Linked DNA regions of Rattus norvegicus. The main gene of each other region encodes a partner of the protein of the gene in region 2 in a complex. Links are inferred from orthologs where the notes say so. Each region holds a gene or a part of one and is shown on either strand. Other genes may lie near its edges. The genes, in order: Ncapg, Smc4, Ncaph, Ncaph2 and Ncapd2.

Evidence for each region.
Region 1: Smc4 (region 2) and Ncapg share a complex: the UniProt entries of both Homo sapiens proteins name them as parts of the condensin complex. The link is inferred for Rattus norvegicus from reciprocal best matches to the Homo sapiens genes SMC4 and NCAPG.
Region 3: Smc4 (region 2) and Ncaph share a complex: the UniProt entries of both Homo sapiens proteins name them as parts of the condensin complex. The link is inferred for Rattus norvegicus from reciprocal best matches to the Homo sapiens genes SMC4 and NCAPH.
Region 4: the proteins of Smc4 (region 2) and Ncaph2 are in contact, whole or in part, in a cryo-EM structure (PDB 9F5W), measured with the Homo sapiens proteins. The link is inferred for Rattus norvegicus from reciprocal best matches to the Homo sapiens genes SMC4 and NCAPH2. Residues at the interface, in NP_001002800.1 of Homo sapiens: Ile100, Leu101, Gly102, Pro103, Ile112, Gly113, Pro114, Ser117, Gln1151, Met1152, Leu1155, Phe1227, Lys1228, Ser1231, Ile1232, Phe1235, Tyr1236, Glu1239, Gln1240, Asn1253, Asn1254, Phe1256, Glu1257, Arg1261, Gly1264, Ile1265, Tyr1266, Lys1267, Thr1268, Tyr1269; in NP_689512.2 of Homo sapiens: Arg494, Ile495, Trp498, Glu499, Thr501, Val502, Leu505, Leu506, Gln509, Glu510, His512, Phe547, Cys550, Arg551, Met553, Leu554, Leu557, Gln558, Ala560, Asn561, Tyr563, Val565, Glu566, Ile567, Gln569, Leu573, Glu574, Ala576, Val577, Asp578.
Region 5: Smc4 (region 2) and Ncapd2 share a complex: the UniProt entries of both Homo sapiens proteins name them as parts of the condensin complex. The link is inferred for Rattus norvegicus from reciprocal best matches to the Homo sapiens genes SMC4 and NCAPD2.

The regions. Positions count from the first base shown.
Region 1 is NC_086032.1:69,628,390-69,632,379, forward strand, and holds part of Ncapg (condensin complex subunit 3), read right to left. Parts: intron 1,305-3,990; coding exon 1,194-1,304; intron 830-1,193; coding exon 710-829; intron 1-709. UniProt on the Homo sapiens protein: Regulatory subunit of the condensin complex, a complex required for conversion of interphase chromatin into mitotic-like condense chromosomes.
Region 2 is NC_086020.1:155,552,958-155,556,947, reverse strand, and holds part of Smc4 (structural maintenance of chromosomes protein 4), read right to left. Parts: intron 3,570-3,990; coding exon 3,378-3,569; intron 2,036-3,377; coding exon 1,859-2,035; intron 1,771-1,858; exon of another isoform or gene 1,673-1,770; intron 1,622-1,672; exon of another isoform or gene 1,527-1,621; intron 1-1,526. UniProt on the Homo sapiens protein: Central component of the condensin complex, a complex required for conversion of interphase chromatin into mitotic-like condense chromosomes.
Region 3 is NC_086021.1:134,849,564-134,854,144, forward strand, and holds the start of Ncaph (condensin complex subunit 2), read right to left. Parts: upstream 2,940-4,581; 5' UTR 2,869-2,939; coding exon 2,850-2,868; intron 2,697-2,849; exon of another isoform or gene 2,480-2,696; coding exon of another isoform or gene 2,413-2,479; exon of another isoform or gene 2,316-2,412; intron 1-2,315. UniProt on the Homo sapiens protein: Regulatory subunit of the condensin complex, a complex required for conversion of interphase chromatin into mitotic-like condense chromosomes.
Region 4 is NC_086025.1:122,305,502-122,309,491, forward strand, and holds part of Ncaph2 (condensin-2 complex subunit H2), read left to right. Parts: intron 1-1,167; exon of another isoform or gene 1,168-1,256; intron 1,257-1,617; coding exon 1,618-1,719; intron 1,720-3,990. UniProt on the Homo sapiens protein: Regulatory subunit of the condensin-2 complex, a complex that seems to provide chromosomes with an additional level of organization and rigidity and in establishing mitotic chromosome architecture.
Region 5 is NC_086022.1:159,660,737-159,664,726, forward strand, and holds part of Ncapd2 (condensin complex subunit 1), read right to left. Parts: coding exon 3,875-3,990; intron 3,610-3,874; coding exon 3,385-3,609; intron 2,813-3,384; coding exon 2,638-2,812; intron 2,402-2,637; coding exon 2,317-2,401; intron 975-2,316; coding exon 841-974; intron 528-840; coding exon 395-527; intron 301-394; coding exon 216-300; intron 139-215; coding exon 1-138. UniProt on the Homo sapiens protein: Regulatory subunit of the condensin complex, a complex required for conversion of interphase chromatin into mitotic-like condense chromosomes.

The DNA.
Region 1 (3,990 bases), on a different chromosome or scaffold from region 2:
CTGACCTGTAACCCCAACAGGAGTGGATCAGTGCCCTCTTTGGGCCTCCATGAGTAACCTACACAGCATAGCATATATACACATGCAACATATCTAAGAAAAAAAATCTTAGAAAGAAAGAAAGAAAGGAAGGAAGGGAGAAAGGAAGAAAGAAAGAAAGGAAAGAAAGAAAGAAAGAAAGAAAGAAAGAGAGAGAGAAAGAAAGAGAGAAAGAAAGACAGCATTCTTTCAAGTATTTATAAGGATTAGTCTTTTAACTTTCCTCTATGTGTCTGAATGTCAAAGTAAGACTCAGGCCAGCATCCCAGGCACAGGCTCTCTGCCTCACCTCACTCCCACAACTGCTGCTGCTATGTTCTGGTTATGCTTAGCTGGCACAACACATAGTCTGTTTCCCCTTCAGAAAAACAAGCTCCAACAGCACAAACTCAGGTTGGTTCTCCTCATCATTTACCTACTATATTTATCGTAAGCCAAGAACAGTGACAGCACATAGTATGCACTCATATAACCTACATGACTCAACTTAAACTGTTACCCCATCTTGTTCTATGAAGACATTTTTATAAACTATCAAGATAAAAATTAAAACCCTAAAGATTATCCACAATCCATCAATTAAACATCTGAACACACCCAGAATTTTAACATATCACCAGAGATAAGAGCATTTCAAGAAACAGACACACAGTCATAAAATAAATCCTACCTGTAAGAACAATATAAAGTGTTTACTTGCAAAATTCTGATCCTGTAGTCCACAGCATCCCAAGCACAAAACAGCCAAGTTTCTTACTATAGGATGAACACTTATTATTCCAGGAAGAATCTACAACAAAATATATAGTATTTATTTTTTAACAATGCTGCCTTCACTTAAGCAGAAGACCCAGGATGGCTATCTGTAGTTTTGTATTTTATGTACACTATATTTCAAGCATTTCTTAGATAACATGTATTCAATAAACATATCCTATGAATAACTTGTTTTATTTAAAAGTGACTTTATAAAAATGTATTATTTAAATTATTCTTCATATTATGAAGTAGTCACTATGGATATACATAGTTCATTATATTTATCTGATGTGGTTGTCTTTTAATTATTAATTTTTAAATTATTAATTAATTATTATAAATTATTATATAATAAAGTAGAAGAGCATAAAAGGTCTCAAAGGCCAGCAGTGTACCAAAGATTCAATGATCCCATTCATGGTTGCACCAATTCCAGTTGAAATGGACATTCGTTTCAACAGTTCATAACACAAAATAAAACACTTCTGTAATGTTTCCACATCGTTCTAAAATGAAAGACAAAATAACCATCATTAGTAAGAACATCACTTACCATCCCTTAAACAACTGCTCTCTTGAAACCTTTTCTGTGCATACTGTTACTCTGTTCCTTTGGCAGTCTTATCTCACCATGCAACTTTATCTTTCATTTATGAGCTGGCCCAATTTTGTGTAACAGTTTCCTCCTAGATTGAAACATTCCAGTCTAAAAGGACACTTTAATCAGGATTGTTAATCACCTCAAAACAGATTCGGGAAGTTTCTGAAATTGACCAGATTCACTAGGCCCCTCCCCTGCCAGAGTAAGTAGTAAGAGCTGAAAAGATTTTCAGACAAGTCACCTGCAAAGACTCAACGACTGCCTGTAAGAAGCAGAAACCATTTGAACTGCCTGTTAGAGGTTTAGACCAACTGAGGCACCTAGAACGAACACTCTCCAACCTGCTACCAGCAGACTGTATAATGTTATACTCCAGGTTCTCAGCTTTATGAGCTGTCACCCTCACTGAGGTGACCTTTAGTAATACAGCTGTCCTTTGAGTCACTCATTTTTTTTTTTTTTATTCTTTTTTTCGGAGCTGGGGACCGAACCCAGGGCCTCGTGCTTGCTAGGCAAGTGCTCTACCACTGAGCTAAATCCCCAACCCCGAGTCACTCATTTCTGCTCCTATAAGTAACCCCTCATATTTCTGTAAGTAACCCAAAGAAAACACATTAGTTAAGGAAGTTGGACATTGGTGTACAGTACGTCGTCAGTCTGTCATAGAACACTATCTGGGGTGAGTAGAATCTAGAATCTAGAATCTTCTAGAACACACTTCTTTCATGTTTCACAGGCTCCTCAATCTCAGCACATCCAAAATGGAACTAACCCATTACTAAATGTCTAACTCGTACACTCTATCATCATATCATGACCATCTATTTTCATTTGTCCAAAGCAAAAGGAGACCTAAGAAACTCTTGATTGATTCTTTTTCTTCCTGTTACTAGACCTTAAATAACTCTGACGTAGGTCACATCTATTTGTACTCAGCATCATCTGGTTCACAATGCTATCATCTCAAGCCATACTTCTGAAACTCTGCCAAGAAGTATGAGCATCTCGGCGTTTATCATTCTAATCTACTTTCAAATAATACTAACCCTGTATTACAGAGTACTCATCCTATTCTTAAAAATATCCTTGTATCCACCATCATCTCTGAATAAGGTCGATTCTTTAATATGGACAATGCAAGGCCTTACATTTATCTGGCCCATAACATTTCCTCTGATTTGCCTATTACCTCTCCAATTCTCTTCCCATGTAAACTGGAAGGTTTAAAGCACAGCAAGCATCTTATTTTAAACTCTGTGCCATCATACTTACCATCACAACATCTACATTTCCTTACCCACTCATTACGGAGAAACAACACAAAGTGCATTAAAGTATCATTTTATAGTAACTATTAGGTTTGAAACCATTGGGACTTGAGGACTGTAAGAAAAATGAATTCACATTTGTAAAGTGCTTGAAGAGATAATCACCTAACTAGACTACCACAAGGGAAAAACGCCCTTTAACTTACTAGGTTACACTATGTGTTCTATAGTACTAGGTGTAGATGCTTAATCTTGACGGCCAACTCTACTGGGTGGAGAAGCAGCTAGTAAACATTAATCGAGCACATCACTGGATGTGTATGAGGGTATCTCCAAAGACAATTAAAGGAAGGAAAGATCCACCCTGAATGCAAGTGGCACTACCTCACAGGCTAGTATACAAGGCCTAAAAGTACACGGCAGTAAAGAAACACACGCCTGCACGCACGCACGCACACGCGCGCGCACACACACACACACACACACACACACACACACACACACCCCAACCACCACCAGACACCACCACCACCACCACCACCACCACCACCACCACCACCACCAAACAGCATAGGCATTCTGGCCCCTGTCTGTCAGGATGGGAGCCTCTCTGTTCTGCAACAACCTCTCAACTCTCGCAGAAACCTCTAAAACTTTATGAACTCAAATAAACCCTCCTTCCCTCCTATGACAGTTTGTATATTGGCCCAAGCAGTGCCATTATTAGAAGGTATGGCCCTGTTGGAGTAGATGTGGCCTTGTTGGAGTGGGTGTGTCATTGTGGGCGTGGGTTTTAAGACCCTCACCATAAATGCCTGCAGGTCAGTATTCTGCTAGCAGCCTTCAGATGAAGATGTAGAACTCAGCTCCTCCTGCACCATGCCTGCCTGGATGCTGTCATGTTCCTGCCTTGATGATAATGGACTGAACCTCTGACCCTGTGAGCCAGCCCCAATTATAAAGACTTGCCTTGGTCATGGTGTCTGTTCACAGAAGTAAAACTAAGACACTTCCCAACTGTTTTCTTAGTATCTCACGACAATGAAAAGTCTAACATGTTAATTTTATTTGCATCTCTAGTTAACCTATTTCTTCCTGGAGGAAAACCAGTAGCATCCTACATGAAATTATGAAGTACATATCTCTCAAACACATTTCTATAGTTTCCTGATCACATCATCTATTATATTAGAATTATATTACAATAGTTGTAGCTCTCAAATAAGACAAAAGACACTAAATGTTCAAAGGAACTCAAAACAGGTTATTAATCAGACAAACCAGCTTACAAATGCTTTATCTTTCAGCAGGGCAGGTGGATTT
Region 2 (3,990 bases):
ATGCTGTACTATGATACTGTCTTTGATTTTCTAGCCTCCCTAACCATGGGTAATTTTTAAGACAAATGTCAGTGAGGAGAGAATGAAATAAAAGCTACAATATCACTTACCTTCATATGCTTTAAATCTTACTAGTTGAAGAATCAAAGATTGTGATAAGGAGCTAAGGAACACTCACAGAAACTACTTCCACTTTCTCTCAGACTTAACAGAATTCTGAATTCTATCTAGTTGCTAAAGTTCTTATCTAAGTTCAACCAAATCAAACTAAATCTGTTAATTAGAATGTTTAACTTAGTATTCTTTGGAAAGAATATAAAAGTTTAATTGTGAGAGCAGACAAGGGTTCAGTTAGGAGGACCAACTCATCTTAAGTACTCCAGGAGCAGGTTTTAATATAAACTCAACTTATTTATTTCTTTGGGAAGTTACTTTATCAGCTTCCTGTATTAGCAAATTATGTAGACGTTGTATAAAAACTTTACAAGACCTAAAACATAGTCTATTTTGTATTGGCATAAAACTGATCTCAGAATAAAATTAAGCAAACAGCAAATAATAAAAAGATTAGTATAATTCCCTGCAAAATTGTTACCACCACTAAATTTAAGATTATAAAGGAATACAGGTTTTTATCCAGTTAATTAAACCAAATTTCTGAAAATAGAAATCTAAAAAATACTACAATGGTATAAGGCTACATCTATATAAATCCAAATCTTATTTAGCATGCATGTCTGCAACTGATTTTTTTCAATACTTAAGTAACACTGGCCCACTAAAGTACTGTAAATACACTATTATGACAGTTAAGGGGTATTCTAGAAAATTATCATTTGTTTTTTATACTGGGTATGATTCAAATAATAATAATCTCAAGAATATAGAGTAAAATTTGTGAAAATTATGTTAGTGGGAACATTTATAAACATAACATTTTATATTAAATTGAAACTCCCAACTTATTTTAAAATCAGTAGTAAAAGATACACTGTATCGGCAGCTGTCTCTGCATAACAGGCAATTTCATTTTTAAATTTTATTCATGCTCCTAGTAGCTTGGCATAGTACAAAAAAAAAAAAGATAATTTCAAATCAGAACAGAAATTTCATAATACCTAACTGTATTAAAAAAAAAAAGTAGGGAAGACAAAATTTTCCTTCCAAATTATACTAGCAGGATATACTTTTACTTCTATACTCACACCAAAATTGGAAAAATAAATAAAAAGGAAGAAACAATAAAATAAAAGAAATAATAATAATGAAAATACCAGGAACCTAATTTTTTTTATACTTCTAAAAAGGACTTCCCTAAGAATTGATACTAATAGTATTGGTTTAAGAAATTAGGCCATTGTGTACAAATTAAACCCACGCAAAGTAAACCTTTATTGAAATATAAAAATATTATATTAGGTACCCAGGAAAATTTGCTGTAATATCAAATATATGGTTTTTATGTTAGAAAAGTGACAATAAACAAAAGGGACTATGAAACACTTTTATCTTAAAGGGAGTTGCTATATCCCTGTCACACTAAAGCAGCACAATAATATTGGTGTTTAATATTTATTTCACTACGCCAATATTTACGTGCTGCTAGAGCGGAACAAGTATGTCAATGTCCAAACATAATAATACAAGTGTGATGATAACAATATAGTCTTGAATGAATTTCCTTAAATTTCTAGAGCAGCAAATAATGATTCGCATCTTGACTGTAGTATGTAAACCATGATGTGCTGCTACAGTACTTTAAGGTTCCAAAAGACAGGATTCACCAAACAGAACAACGCCCTTTGAAGCTTTATTACAAACCAAAACCCAAAAACTTTGGAAGAATTTTTAAACGTACCTGCAAGATTAAAAATCGATTATGGTCTAAGTCAATCCCATGGCTTCTAAGAAGATTTCCAACATCTTTAAATGTCCTCTTCTTCCCACTTATATGATAGACAGAAGTGTTATCTCTGTAGGCTGTTCTAGATACATAGAAGTTGCTGTTAGGAAGGACGTCATAATCATCCCCTTCCTGTTTTTAGGAAAAACAGAACCAGAAAACTGTTGGTATGTTTGATCCAGATTTTATTTACTTTATACTGAAACTAATGGAACGGATTAAATATTTTATTTTTTTCTTGTATTCTTTAGCAGAGTCATAAATGTATATAACTAACTTTAGTACTTTTCACCTATTACTAGTTTTATCTCCCCTGAATTAAGTATGACCATAAGCTGACAACCATTTTAAAATGAAGTAAAAATAAACTGGTTTACAAAGGACTAGATACTTCTCCAAGTTGTTTGGTTTCTTTCTCAAAAACCTCTAAAAGTTTAAACCAAGCAAACAAAAATGAAATTTTTGAAGAAGCCAAAAAATATATCTGAATAAGAGCCAAGGAAGGTGAACAAGAACTCCAGCATATGTACAACAACCCACTCCATTCGAATAACCTTGATGACTGGTTAAAAAGAGATGACTTAAGGAAAGTACTAAGGGGAAATACTTTACTGGTCAAGGTGTGTCAGGGAGTATGGCTGTCAGTTTATTGTGTGTAGTGTCTGTGTGGGTGTGTGGTGTCTGTGTGTGTCTGTGTCTGGGATTCCCTTTGCACTTTCCTGAACAACATCTCCTATCATTAATTGAAAGACAAATCATAAAAATTCAATTATATAGCCAATAAAGCAAATAATCAATTTATTTTAGCATTAAAGTTCATTTATTCTTAAAGGCTCTGTGTCATATTCAATTTTAGATGGATCAAAGACTAGGTATTGGAATATCTGATTTACTGGCAATTTATTCTCTAACTCAAATACAACAGAATGAATTCAGAACAAAATTACGATAGATGTTTCTGTATATTTAAAACACACCCCCAGCATCCAATCATCTGTTACTTTATTATATGCATTAATTTTTTTTAAGGTTCTTTTCAGTTGCTTTTTGAATCATAGATTTTTTTAAGCTAATTAAACAGAGGCCTGTCCCCTACCATTTTAAAAAAATGCTACAAATACATCATGGTAGCTCAAACCTTAGAAAATTCCATATTTTACACACACAGCTAATTACTATATTTTAGACTCAATTATTACATTTTAAAAATTAAAATGTTTATCCTAAAGAGAAAAAATGTATGACTTAAAATGAAGCCCATATGTATCCTGAATAGAATGAATGCTTAGTTAGCACTCAGGGTCCCCTAAGTCAGTGTCTTCCTCCAAAAAGTTGAAGCAAATATGGTCACAGAAGCAAAAAACATTTCTTTTGCTTTAATTATACACAAACATAAAATAAACAATTCAGGTCTACAATAATAAAATGTGATGTGTTTTTCTTGCTTGAAGTTGCAAGTAGCAAATAATCTTACCTTATCAATTATCTTTTGAAAATGAACTTCTACAGTACAACTCTGAATATCCGTGTGCTCATCAGAATTATGTATCAGTACTGACAGCTTTTTAGACCTTATTTTTTGTGCTCGATAGCCAAACACAAAAAGCATGGAATCAATAACATTGGATTTTCCACTGCCATTTGGTCCAATAATACAGGAAAAACGCTGCATAAAAGTAAATTTAAAAAAAAATTTAAATTTAAAGTCACACTTATACTAATTTTAAACTACTCCATAACTTAATTTACAGTAAAAATTAAAGGTGTTTAAAGGTTTTCATTATTAAAAGATAAATACTTTTTCATTCTTTCTCTTTAGAATTAAAAGCAGTTTATTAAGAAAAGGAAAGCACTCCAAGAATGGGAGTGGCCAGTGAACTGAAGGAAAAGAATGCCCTCCAAAATCCCAATTTGAGTTTTCTTACATCATGTTCTTCTCTAGCACATGCTTTACTATCTTAAATAAAACCATATTCAAATTCTAATCCCGACATCTTACAAACCTCTTTAGCACAGTCAACGGAAAAAAATTACCTTCTAACAAAATCAGGTCTTATTCAATATGCAAACATTAGTGCTAAAGATAT
Region 3 (4,581 bases), on a different chromosome or scaffold from region 2:
GACAGTGCAGAAGGCACTGGAAAGCTAAGGAAAGGAGGACATGGCCAGCCACCTAGAATTAGGAAATGAATGACGTGGGGGTGTGGCATAGTTGACAGCAGCTTTGAAGGCCCCAAACCAACCACCCAGCAGCCCTAAGTATTTCTCTCTGGCCACTGTCAAGTGTGCAGAATGGGGGTGTTTAAATTAACCGGGGTTGTGGGTCTTGCCAAGAACCTGTAAGAAAGGAAGAGGACGGGCTGGAGAGATGGCTCAGCAGTTAAGAGCACCCGACTGCTCTTCCAGAGGTCATGAGTTCAATTCCCAGCAACCACATGGTGGCTCACAACCATCTGTAAAGAGATCTGATGCCCTCTTCTGGTGTATCTGAAGACAGCTACAGTGTACTTATATAATAAATAAAATAAATCTAAAAAAAAAAAAAAAAAAAAAAAAAAAAGGAAGGAAGAGGACACAGGGAGACACGTGAGCATACTGACTGACCAGGAAGGTAACATAAATAAGGAAGGAAGGGGACACAAGGTGGCCATAGGTGACAAACAGTCGTAGAATATGTCGGCAGAAACAAAAGCTGACCTCAGGATGTGAATAAGAGACAATGAGCTGGACACACAGGGGGGATGCAAACACACGGATGACAGGTTATGCCAGGTTATGACATGTTCAAGGTGTGACTGAGGCCTGGTTGACCTACTGTTTTAGAGTAAGACACAAGATTCCTGGGAGGAGTTAAAGGAACCCTAACTCATCCTAATCCCTACCCCCGATTTAACAAACAAAGAGCATTGTTTTAAACGTGGCTTCACCGCATATTAAGAAGACTTTAGGTAAGCAAACAAGCTATCTGTCTCTATGCTGTATCTGCTTCAACACCGCCCCAAATGGAGGAACGTCACCTGGCTCTGGCTATGGCTGGTGGAAGAGTCCTTGCCTAGCTCTTCTCCTTGGGTGGGCACGTGCTGAGAGAAAGGGAGAGGGAGGGAGGGAAGGAAAAAGGGAGAAAAGGAGAGAGGGAGAAAAATGGGAGGAGGGAAGGAGAGAACGCCCAGAGAGTGAGCTGACTTTGCTGTTTCCCAACAGGCGATACAATGCGATTTCAATGTGCACAATAAGATTTTATAGGCACACAGAAAAAAATAAAAGGAGACTGGGAATATAGAGCCATATAGAATTCTTGCCTGGCATGCACACGCCATGGCACAAGACTTATACCACAAAAGTAAACAAAGAGACCCAACAAACAAATGCTTGTCCACAGACAGCAGAAGGAAAAGGCAGTCCAAAAACTTTACAAGGGTATAGTTTACACAACTCTCATCCAACACCAAGACAAAACAAAAACGTCAAGAGAGCAGATGTGATGTTTTGTGGGCAAAAATCAAGACATTTGTAAATGTGGATAAGGAAAGGAATTGAGAAACTGGAAGCACTGAGGGATAGCTCTTTAAATCCACCACCCATTGTTCTCTGCAGGGGGCGGTATACATCTAACTCAATGGATTGTTACTGAAGTCAAGAGCACTTCCTGTGCCTGATTTTTCCTCCCACTCACTCAGCCCCTCTGCTCTGCTTCAGTTCTCAGCCTGAAGTGGGCACTTCAGGACTTGTCTCTTCTTCTTGAGCTGCTCTTGGCTCCTGTGATACCTGTAACTTGGGTTTTTTCCAGTGCCCTCCTCCCACCCGGCCACCTGTTGCTGGTCCTGAATGTACTCAATACAATGTCTGTCTGGTGTTCCCACCTGGACCCATGGCTTTACGATCCCCGAGATAGAGAAAAACAAATCTACCTCTCAGCCTATGGACCTCTGTCAAACTCATCCAGTAGAAACCCTCTCACCTGTGCACCTCACCTCTCCAGGAAGTCACAAGCAACAAATTCAAAATGAAACTATTATTAGAAAACTCTAACTTAGGCCTACCAGGTCCTGCCTGTTGTCAGTCTCACTAAGTTTAGTTATAATGGTCTAGCTCAGTGGTTCTCAACCTTCCTAATGCTGTGACCCTTTGACACAGTTCCTCATATTGTGCTGACCCCCCCCACCATAAAATTATTTTCATTGCTACTTCATAACTGTAAATTTGCTACTGTTATGAATCTTTTTTTTTTTTTTTTGGTTCTTTTTTTCGGAGCTGGAGACCGAACCCAGGGTCTTGCGCTTCCTAGGTAAGCGCTCTACCACTGAGCTAAATCCCCAGCCCCTACTGTTATGAATCTTAATGTAAACATCTGTTTTCTGATGATCTTAGGTGAACCCTGTAGAAAGGTCATTTGACACCTCCCCATGGGGACTGTCACCCAAAGGTTGAGAACATACAGTGTAGTAATTCCTAGACCAGTTCAGATTCCTTCCTGGCTCGTCCCTTGGACACGATGCTCCGAGCTAGCTCAAAGTCACTATAGCTGAGGATAACCTTGAATTTCTGATCCTCCAGTCTCCAACTCAAGTGCCCAGGCTTCTTCGGTTGCGAATTTCTGCATCTGACCAAGGTCTGTCCCAAAGGGAGCCCTCAAGACTTTTGAATCAGTTCCAAAAGACAGGCACGAGTGCTCAACACAGAACGGTCGACCCTATGCTTCCACAGCTCCCCACACAACGTCCAGTCCAGAACCACTCCCCCAACCTTTTCCTCCGTTGGAACCGGGGCGCGGGGAGCATTAGAGCCTGGCCGCCACTGGCAGCTGCACCCTGATTGGCCCAGCGCCCCGCTTTCCCTCGGCTTGTCTTCCCTTCCCCCTCCACAGCCCCCGGCTGAACCCCGCCGAACACATTCGTCCCTTCTGGACCTGCCCACGCGAGCACCCTTCGGTCCTGATCCTGACAGCCGCGCCTCGACCCACTCGAGCTCACCTGAGCGTGGGATTTTCATCTTGCTCTCCACGTCTCCGTAGTTAAGTTTTAAATCGTGAGCGCCAAGCGCGGTAACTGCCGCGTGACGCCCCTGGGGGAGTGGCCTTTGGTGCGCCTGCGCAGACCGCCCAGGCGGCTGATTAAAAACTGTGCCGGCGGGAAGTCCTTCATTGAAGTCTAAGCAAGTGAGCTTAGCTGCAGCGGTGACCTAGCTGATGACGTTTGGAAACGCTGGCGGCCGAGCGCTGGGCGCCGAGTAGGATGTGTAGATCTGGGCGGGCAAAGGCTGTACTTTCCTAGAATCTGGATTGTAATGGGGAGGCAGGTTTCTGAGGGATGGAGGTTCATTGTCTTAAAAGACATGTTCTTTGTGGGTAGAAAACGGTATCCTTCTTGAAGTTCCAGGCAAGCAAGAAGGAACGTAAAGCATTGTGTATGCATGTGTACACTCCACCCAGAGTATTGTGTATGTATACATCCCAAGAGCATTGTGTGTGCATGTGTGTACACACACCCCAGAGCCTTGTGTTGACACGTGTGGGCGCCCAGTACAGTTCATATACGTGTATACACTTCCAGAGAGCTTTCTGTCTGCATGTATGTGTACACGTCCATACACACACATATCAGAGCATTGTGTGAGCATGTGTATCTGCACCAAAGCATACATCTACACACATGCATGTACATACATTTGAAAACGAAGCTTTTGTCCAGATTCTTGTAAAAGGCTTTTTGGAGGCCAGCTGCCTACCACCCTTTTTTAAACGGAGGCCTGGGGTGTAGCTGTTTAACATCCTTTACACCATTTGCCTGCCTGCTTACTGTCATCGGTGCCCCTCATTTGGGAAACCAAAGCTCTGCCCTTTGTTGAAAGCTAATTTTAAAAAAAATTTCATTTGATGTGAATGAGTGTTTTACCTGAGTATGTGTGCATTTACTACATGCATGGCTGGTACCCAAGAAGACCGGAAAAGGCTGTCAGATCCCCTGGGATTGGAGTGACAGATGTTTGTGAGCCACCATGTGGGTGCTGGGAATGAAACCCAGGTCTCCTGCAAGAGCAACAAGTACTCTGGACCAACAAGCTACTTCTCTAACTCCCAAAAGCTTCTCTTGAAAGCTATTTAGTTTTTGCATGGATTTGCAAAACTACTTTGGAATGAGGCAGCCTGGTGTACCGGCCCCAGACCTTAGCAGCACTGACTCCATGACAATTTGGACTGTTAAACTCATCGTGGAGGTAGGAGCACCTGCCAAAGGGAAACAAAGACAGAATCTATCAAAGTCTCTAAATGTTCTAACCTTGCTTTTTAGCCTCTGTAGTTCCACTTCTCGCTAACAGTTCTCGTTAACTGAAGTGTGTCAACCCAGAACATGGTTTTGTTCTTAAAAGTTCACCATGAGAAAGGCTCAGGGCTACACTGGATCCTGAACACACAGTATAGGGCATCAGTCAGCTAACAAAGACCCACCTCCAAGCAGCCCTCTCTGGCGGACACCCCACAGCAGTAGATTATGGGAGAAAAGATTGGTGTTCCTCACCTTCCTGAATGCTCCTGTCAGCCACCAAGGACTGGACTTATCCCTTACTGAGCTTTTTGCCTCTGGGGAAAAAAAAAATCTCTGTTGGTCCCTCACCTTTTTCATCCACATTACCTGCTAGACTATGATCCCCTTCCCAGTGAGCCCAGAGTGGCATTTGCCAAGTGTAAATCTGACCTCACTCCCA
Region 4 (3,990 bases), on a different chromosome or scaffold from region 2:
ATTTATTAATTGTTATCAAGTATTTATTATGTGACAAGAACCACTTTAAATTAAAAATCAAAAACAGATGGCAAGCAAAGCAAAGAGTAATTCATCCTTCAATAAAGTTTCTGCTCTCTAGGGAGGATGGGTATCAGGGTAGGAACCACATTATTGGTTCCTTCCTATGGGTGTCTATTTGGCCTAAGCATTGTTTGTTTATGTTTCATATAAATCAATGTAGCCTTTACAACAAAGGCTGAAATCGCCACTAGAGAGATAAAATGATTTGTTGGAAGTCACAGCTGACAGTGGACAAAGCAGCTCTGTTCCCCATTATCTGTATTGTGTGTTTCACAAAGGAGTAGTAAACTGGAAAGAAGAGATTAGGATGTCAGGAAGACGTAGACTGAGGGACCTGATCGTATTTGAGGTAAAAGGAGTTTCCATGTCTGGTAAGCTAAAATTTGTATGTAGTGGGGACATGGGGCTTGCCTCGGTCAGTAGAAGGCATGAAGTACCGTTCACAGGGGAAGGCTAGTGGCTGGAGAAGACTGGTGAGTTAGAGGCCTCCCTTGGGGGGTTTGTGTAGAATTTCAGGTTCTCCCTCTGAGTGGCAGAAAGTCTGTAAGAGGTTAGGGAGAGGTTAGACTGGGCCAGATCAGCTGTCATTAGAGAGGAGCTTGAAGTAGTAAGGGGCGGAGACCCTTCAGTTTGGGGGGATAGGTGGGGATGCCAGGATGGACTTGTTCATTGGATCTCATTTATAAAAATCTGGAGAGTTGAATAAGACAGATGGACAACAGTTTGGGCAGCAGTAAGAGTGTCTGCAAGACTTCAGTTTAATCCCTAATACTGTGAAGAACAATTCTCTGGGGTGTTTTTATTTGTTTGTTTGTTTATTATTTATAGATCTTCAGTAGGTATCTAACTGGAACCCCAGAGCCTCGGAGAAAGCTGTTCTGAGGATATGTTGGCACTTTGTTGACATTTGTGACTGGTAGCTTGAACAGAGATGGGTAGGGGCACATGGTAGAAGGTAGAAGTGGGAAAAAGCTAAAACACATAGCTGAGGCTACCAGAGGCCAAGGAGGGCTGCAGAGGGGAACTACTTATGGCACCTGTTTCCTGAGTTTTCCAATTAAAGGATAGAGTGTACTGCATTTGTCTCTGTCTTTTCCTTCTCAGTGTAAAGGGTCTGTCTGCTGTAGTTTGTCCCAGTTGGCTTTTGACCTTGTGGGGGGCGCATGTACAATTTGGAGTGCTGGTGAGAGCTGGTATGTAGCTTTGGCCATCATGGTCAATGTCCTTTGGGGACCTCCCTCTTGTAAAACCTTTGGTCTGGAAGGATCTAGGAACTAGGGGGAATCACAAAGATCTAGCTTTTCTCTAGAATCACCCAGATACAACTGGCAAATTCAAGAGTAGACTTGGAGTACCTGTGTTTGTAGGTGATAGCTTGAGCTACCAGGAAGGAAGTGAACACAGGCTCCTCCTGCACTGCTATCTTATTTTCTCTGAGGCTGTCTCCCTATGTAACCCAGCAGACCTTGAATCCTGCCTCAGTCTCCCGGCTGCTGGGGTCATAGGCATACCACCCCCTTACCGAGCCCAGCTTACTAACGTTCTTTCTTGCAGCTGGACCAGATCTGCATTTCTTTTGATGAAGGTAAAACCACGATGAACTTCATTGAGGCAGCACTGTTGATCCAGGGTTCAGCCTGTGTCTACAGTAAAAAGGTGGGTTCCACACACTGCTGGTGTTTGTGCTTCGTGTTGAGCTCTCTCTGTAACCTGCCTACCCTTAGCTCACAACTGGAGTGTACCGTTGGCTTTTATTTTGAGACACATCCCATGCATCCCAGGCTGATCTCAAACACTACACATGTCTGAGGAAGATGGCCTTGAACTTCTGATTCCTTTGCCTCCACCTCCTGGAATGCTAGTGTGACAGTGTAAATCACCATGTCTAGTGTTTGTAGTCCTGTGGGCAGGGTCAAAGCTAGGGCTTCGTGCATGCTAGCCATGTGCTTCACCCCCTGAGCTCTATCTCCAGCCTGTTGGTTTTTGGAGTCAAGATTTTATTCGCTCTGACTGGCCTTGAGCTCGCTCTGTAGCTGAGGCTTGCCTTGAACTCTTTCCTTTTCATCTCAAGTGTTTGGATAACAGGCGTGTTCTACAATGCCCAGGTAACCGAGTTTAAAAACCAGTAGGCGGTTCTGTTGGAAGAAGTCTGCTGCATAAGCCTGAGGACCTGAGTGGATCTTCAACATCCACATAAAGAGCGGGGCATGATGGCAGGCATCTGTAACTCTAGCACGGTAGTGCGGAGACCCGAGAACCCTGAGCCCAGCCAGCCAGCCAGCCAGCCAGCCAGCAAGCCAGCCAGCTGATGAGTACTCTACTCAGGTTCAGTCAGGAAAACAAGGTGGAAGTAGTTAAGGAGGACACCTGAGGTTAGCTTCTAGCTTCCACAAACATCTGTACAATGTACATGCACCTCTGCGTGTTTGCACACATGCAAACACATACATACAACACATACTTACAAAATGGTGTGGCCAAGTTCATTTTGTATAGCACTTCTAGCATACACAGGGCCCTGATGGTGATTCCATAAAACCACAATAAGTAAAGTGGCCAGGAAGAGAGGGTCAGGGGTGCTGTGAGCGCTGCTGTCCCTCATGTGCATGATTTCAGGTACAGTGTGGATACTCTACCTTCCTCACTTCCACGTATACTTGCAGTTGTGCTGCATCATCATCTAGAACAACTCCAGTCTCATCCTGTGTGGGCCCTGTGGTTCTGTGGAGGAGACCAATAAGAAGCAAGTGAAAAGCTGGGGGCGGGGGGAAAGGGTGCACATCTTTAATCCTAGCACTTGCGAGGCAGAGGCAGGTGGATCTCTGTGAGTTTGAGGCCAGCCCTAGACTACAAAGTGAGTTTTAGGACAGCCAGGACTACACAGAGAAACCTCACAAAAACAAAAGTATTGAAAAAAGGTCTATTACATAGGCCATCATGGGTTATGTGGTGACAGGGCCATCAGACTCACAGCACCCTCCTGTGAATAGGGTAGTGTAGCTAGCAGGAGAAGCTGCAGCAAAAAACAGTGGGTACCATGTGTGAGGGTTCAGGCCTGTGGGGCATGTGCCAAGAGCTGCCTGAAACGTAGTGGGCACCCATCATGACATGGCCATGACCTGTGTCAAGGGGGCTGTGCTTGTGGATGTGTGGAATATGGGGCAGAGGCTGTCCAGGTAATTCTGATTTGATTTGATTTGACTGATTTGATTTGAGGTTATTGTTATTGTTGTATATGTGTGCTCTGTGCATGTATATGGTATGAAACCTGAGGTGGAAGTTGTGTCTTTACTTGATCTCTCCCCACTTCACTTTTTGAGACAGGGTCTGTTACTTAACCTGAATGCTGGTTCCTTGGGCTGCCTGGCTAGTGAATGTCAGGGTCCTTCTGTCTCTGCTTCCCCAGCCTTCTCCAAGATGGGGTTATAAGCAGGCACTGTCATGCTTGGCTTTTAACATGGATTCTGATGATGCAAACTCAGATTCCTCCTATTGCATGTCAGGTGCTTGTGTGTGTGGGTGTGTACACATGAGTGTCAGGTGCTTGTGTGTGTATGTGTGCACATGAGTGTCAGGTGCTTGTGTGTGTGTATGTGTGCACATGAGTGTCAGGTGCTTGTGTGTGTGTATGTGTGCACGTGAGTGTCAGGTGCTTGTGTGTGTGTGTATGTGTGCACGTGAGTGTCAGGTGCTTGTGTGTGTGGGTGTGTGCACATGAGTGCAGGCACTCTGAGAAGCCTGAGGCATCTGATTCCCGAGCTGGAGTTACGCGTGGTCATGAGTAGCTGGTGTGGGTGCTGGGAAGCAAGCCCGGTCCTCTGAAAGAGCAAGCACTGTAACTGCTGAGACATTTCTCCAGCGCCAGAGAATTATTTTATGTTTATATCTCAATGTTTTTGTGTATGTATGCACGTGCGTACACTTGTT
Region 5 (3,990 bases), on a different chromosome or scaffold from region 2:
CAAGTTTCTCCAAGGCTTGCTTTGCACAGCCTTGCAGCATCTGGGAACAGATCACGTCAGGCCCCTCTGCCAATTGGTAAGTCAGGGTCACTGCCACCTCTTTGAATGGGATCCAGAAGGGATCTGGGTGTGCAAAGCCTAGAGAGAAAGGAGAAGTTGATCTCTCTGGAGAAAGGAACCAAACAGACCTACTTTAGGCCCTCTGGATAGCTTACCCTTTGTGACCATCTCCTGAAGTCGTTCAAACAACTTGTGCTCCTGAGGCAGCCGGAAGGGAGGGTGACGTTCACCCAGGGAAGGCTGAGAAGAAGAGAACAGAATGCCAGAGTGAGAAAGGCCAACAGGAAGCTCTCCACTCCCCTCAGCTGAGTCACAGCCACCCCACATCACCTACCTTCCTCCTGTCCGAGATGTTGGCAATGGCGAGGCACACCTGCTGGGCCAGCCTGTAGTCCTGTGGAAACTTCTCATCCAGCCCTACCTTCACCAGGGTGTCTAAGTTGCTTCCTACAATTTCTGGTTTTCCTCTAGGGAAAGGAAAGCAGAGTTAAAGGCAGCCCTGGGCAGGGTTCTGTGGCAGACAACACCAATGCAGGAAGGCATCAGTACCCGCTGTGGGATGTCTACAGCTCTGAAGCACTCCAGAAAGATCTGACCCAGAGCCAGGTTCCTGGATCCCTCGAGCTTTAACTATAGAAGACAGGCGGGCAGGTACCCTCTTCACCCAGGAAGCCGACCCCATGACAGCTCAACTAGGCTGACTGCATTACTGAGGAAAAGGGACCTTTCAGACTTTCCTTGCCTTCCCCACTCTGCTTGCTTTCTGGATCCAAGCCTCACCGTGCCATCATGCCAAGAAGCATGACAGAGGAACAGCGCTCCAGAGGAGAGCACGGGACCTTCTCCGTTGCCCGTTCCCACAGCAGCTGGATCACTGCTGGCTTTATCTCATCCTTCTGCACAAACTCACAAAGCTGAGGAGAGAAGAACAGTAAGTCTGCTTCAGAATAAAAGTCCCCTGGTCTACCTGTCTCAGGACAACTCTGAGAACCTGGATGGAACTAGCACTTGGGGGTAGAAGAGGAAGAGGCTCAAATGTAAACAGAGTGCGAGGAGTATTTCTTGCTCCATTCTCTATTTCCTGCTTCATGGCTTTCTTCAAAGCTGCACTTCCTAAGATCACACATTCTGAGTTCTATGAGGTGCACAGTTCTGACTGCATGCTGAATATTTCTTACTGTGAGCACAAGTCCATGTATCTGTGACAGGGCCACTGTCCCTTTTGCCTTTTCATTTTCCCAGCAATGCTGACGGCCTGTCAGTCACATGTCGCCTACCCACAGCTGCTTCTGCAGGCCCTGTCTGCCCTCTCACCACTGTATGCCCAGCAGGCTTGTGTGTGACAGGCGGGTCATCTCAGCACATGTCTCCAGCCCTTCCCTGACTACTGTGGGAGTCCTGAGCAGCAGCCAGCCTGGGAAATACCAAGCCGCTTGCCACCGCCAGGTCCTCTTTCCCCAGAAAGGAACAAAAGTAGCAATCAGTAGTCAGGTCTGGCCGTCACTGCCACTTCATTCAAACCCCGGGGACCCCCTAACTTGAAGGCATTCAGTGGCCTCCACAATTGAGTTGCAGCCCATGCTCTCAACTGGATCATTGTCTAATAATGACCTTGAGTCAGAACACAGAGAACACTGCCTTACTTCCTATCAGAATTCTGTCTCTGTCTCTCTGACCGACCTTCCATACCATGCTGACTTGTACCATCATGTTGAGGTAAGCCCCTGACCTCTACCCTTGAGCAGAGGCTGAACATCTTTTCTAGCACTAGCTTATATAGTGTATGTGCGGCAAATCTAGCTGCAGCCAGTCACCCTCCCTCTCCCTGAGCCTCCCTCACAGATTCCCACCCTAGCTACACAAAGAACTGTTCCTGAGTTGTTGCCCAGTGGTGTTAAGGACAGTGCTAGGCACACATTAAGCATCACTGTTATCCTGCTCACCTCTGTCACCAATTCTGGAGGTGGATACTTGTGCTACATTTTACTAAATATGTTTTGTGGTTTTTTGTTTTTTTTTTTACTATAACCAAACACACCTGAGTCTGAACACTGAGGACTATGAGTTTGAGGCAAGCCTGGGCTACACAGTCAGACAACTGCCTCAAACCAACAGGAAACAAACTAGGAAATAAAAATAAAGTTGGGAATGGGAAAGCAATTAATTAAACTTCTTTGTGGGGCTGAGCAGATCTCTGCGCACAGGAACAGCCACTAATTGTAAGTGTGGGATGAGAGAAGGAACAAGGGGACTTACAATTTCTTCAAGACACTGAATGGTCCCGACGGAGGCATCTACTAACAGCAACGAGAGGTTCTGAATCAAGGCCTGCGCTGTGGCTCTGCAGGAACAGCAGAGATCAGTGGTCACTACGACTGGGAATCAGAACTTGGCAAACAGGCTGTTAGATTAAATAAGTGCTCGGAGCAGACCCCAGCAGAAGTCCACCCTGAGCCTGGTATAGACCCATCCATGAGTTCAGAACAACCCTAGAATATCTTCCTCATTCAGAAGACTAGGAAATCCCGTGAGAAGCTGACCTCAGAAAAGTTAACGAAGACAAGGAACCCCAGATACCTGGCTGAGTCCCCTTTCGGGCTGAGGTACAGTTGGCGGTATGCATTAAGGACAGCTTCCCGGACACCAAGCTCCTTAGACCAGATGAGAGGCAGCATGCGGCGTACCCCAAACAGGGCCTGGGGTACCCCAAATTGGAATACCATCACAAAGAACTCAATCACCTCCTGCACCACTGAGAACAGACACAAATATCACCCATCTACTTGGCAAATGTCACAATACTCATAGATAGAACCCTTGGTAACACAGTAACATGGCTGTAGAGGTCATTGTCATTGTCCCTGAGAATGACTGCTAGAACGCCTTCTCGTGACACTGTTAAACAAAGTAAACTATAAATGTCAACAGTGATAAACAACCTCTGCCTTTTAATGATGCAGGCATCAGGGACTGGATGATGGAGCAGGGTTTAAGAACTGTTCTTCCAGAAGACCCAGGTTTGATTCCTAGTACCCACATGGTGGCTCACAACAATTTCTAATTCCAGCTGCAAAGAATCTCTGACCCCCTCTTCTGCTCACCACAGGCACCAACCCTGCATGTAGTACACATTCACGCACATAAAAATGAGTGAGGTCGGGTTGGGGATTTAGCTCAGTGGTAGAGCGCTTGCCTAGCAATCCCAAGGCCCTGGGTTCGGTCCCCAGCTCCGAAAAAAAGAAAAAAAAAAAAAAAATGAGTGAGGTCTTATCCCAATAACAAAGGTGAGCGGGCAGGGCTGTTTCTGAAGAGCACCCGGCCTACCTGTAGTTGTGTTCTCATACATCATCTTGCTGATGACGCCAATGGCTTCTGTGATCTTCTGGGAGAAGCTGTAGGCATCCTGCAGGTACTGCACCAGCATCTCCTGCTTCAGCAGCTCATCGTCCCTCTGGGACCCCTCAGGCTCAGGCACACTAGGAGAGTCTTTACTGCCAGTTAGCCCTGGATCTGTGTGCCTAGGAGATTCGTGTGTGGAAGCTTCAGGGCCTAGGAATTGGAGAGTACGGGAAAGTTTTGCTCAAGTGTACCTGGGAGTCTAGTGGCTATCAACACCCTTCGGAGATTTCTTTCAACGATGTGAAGGTATGAGATTACAATGTGTTTTAAAACACTGTGGTTCATTTCTCAATTCCCGCAGACCTCTCTAGTTTGCAAAGGCGCCCTATGACTGAGCTGCTCCCCTTCCAGAGCAAATGTCAACTCCCCCAGCCTCCTTCAGTCCAAGGCTGGGCTTGCTGACTGAAAGGATTACCTTTGAAGATGACACCCAAGAGATTCAGGAAGTCCTTCTCCTCTGGCTCTGTGTGACTGAAGGGTTCAGACTCCTGGAAGCGACTGGTAGCTTCTCGAGTGAGAAGAATGGCCTGT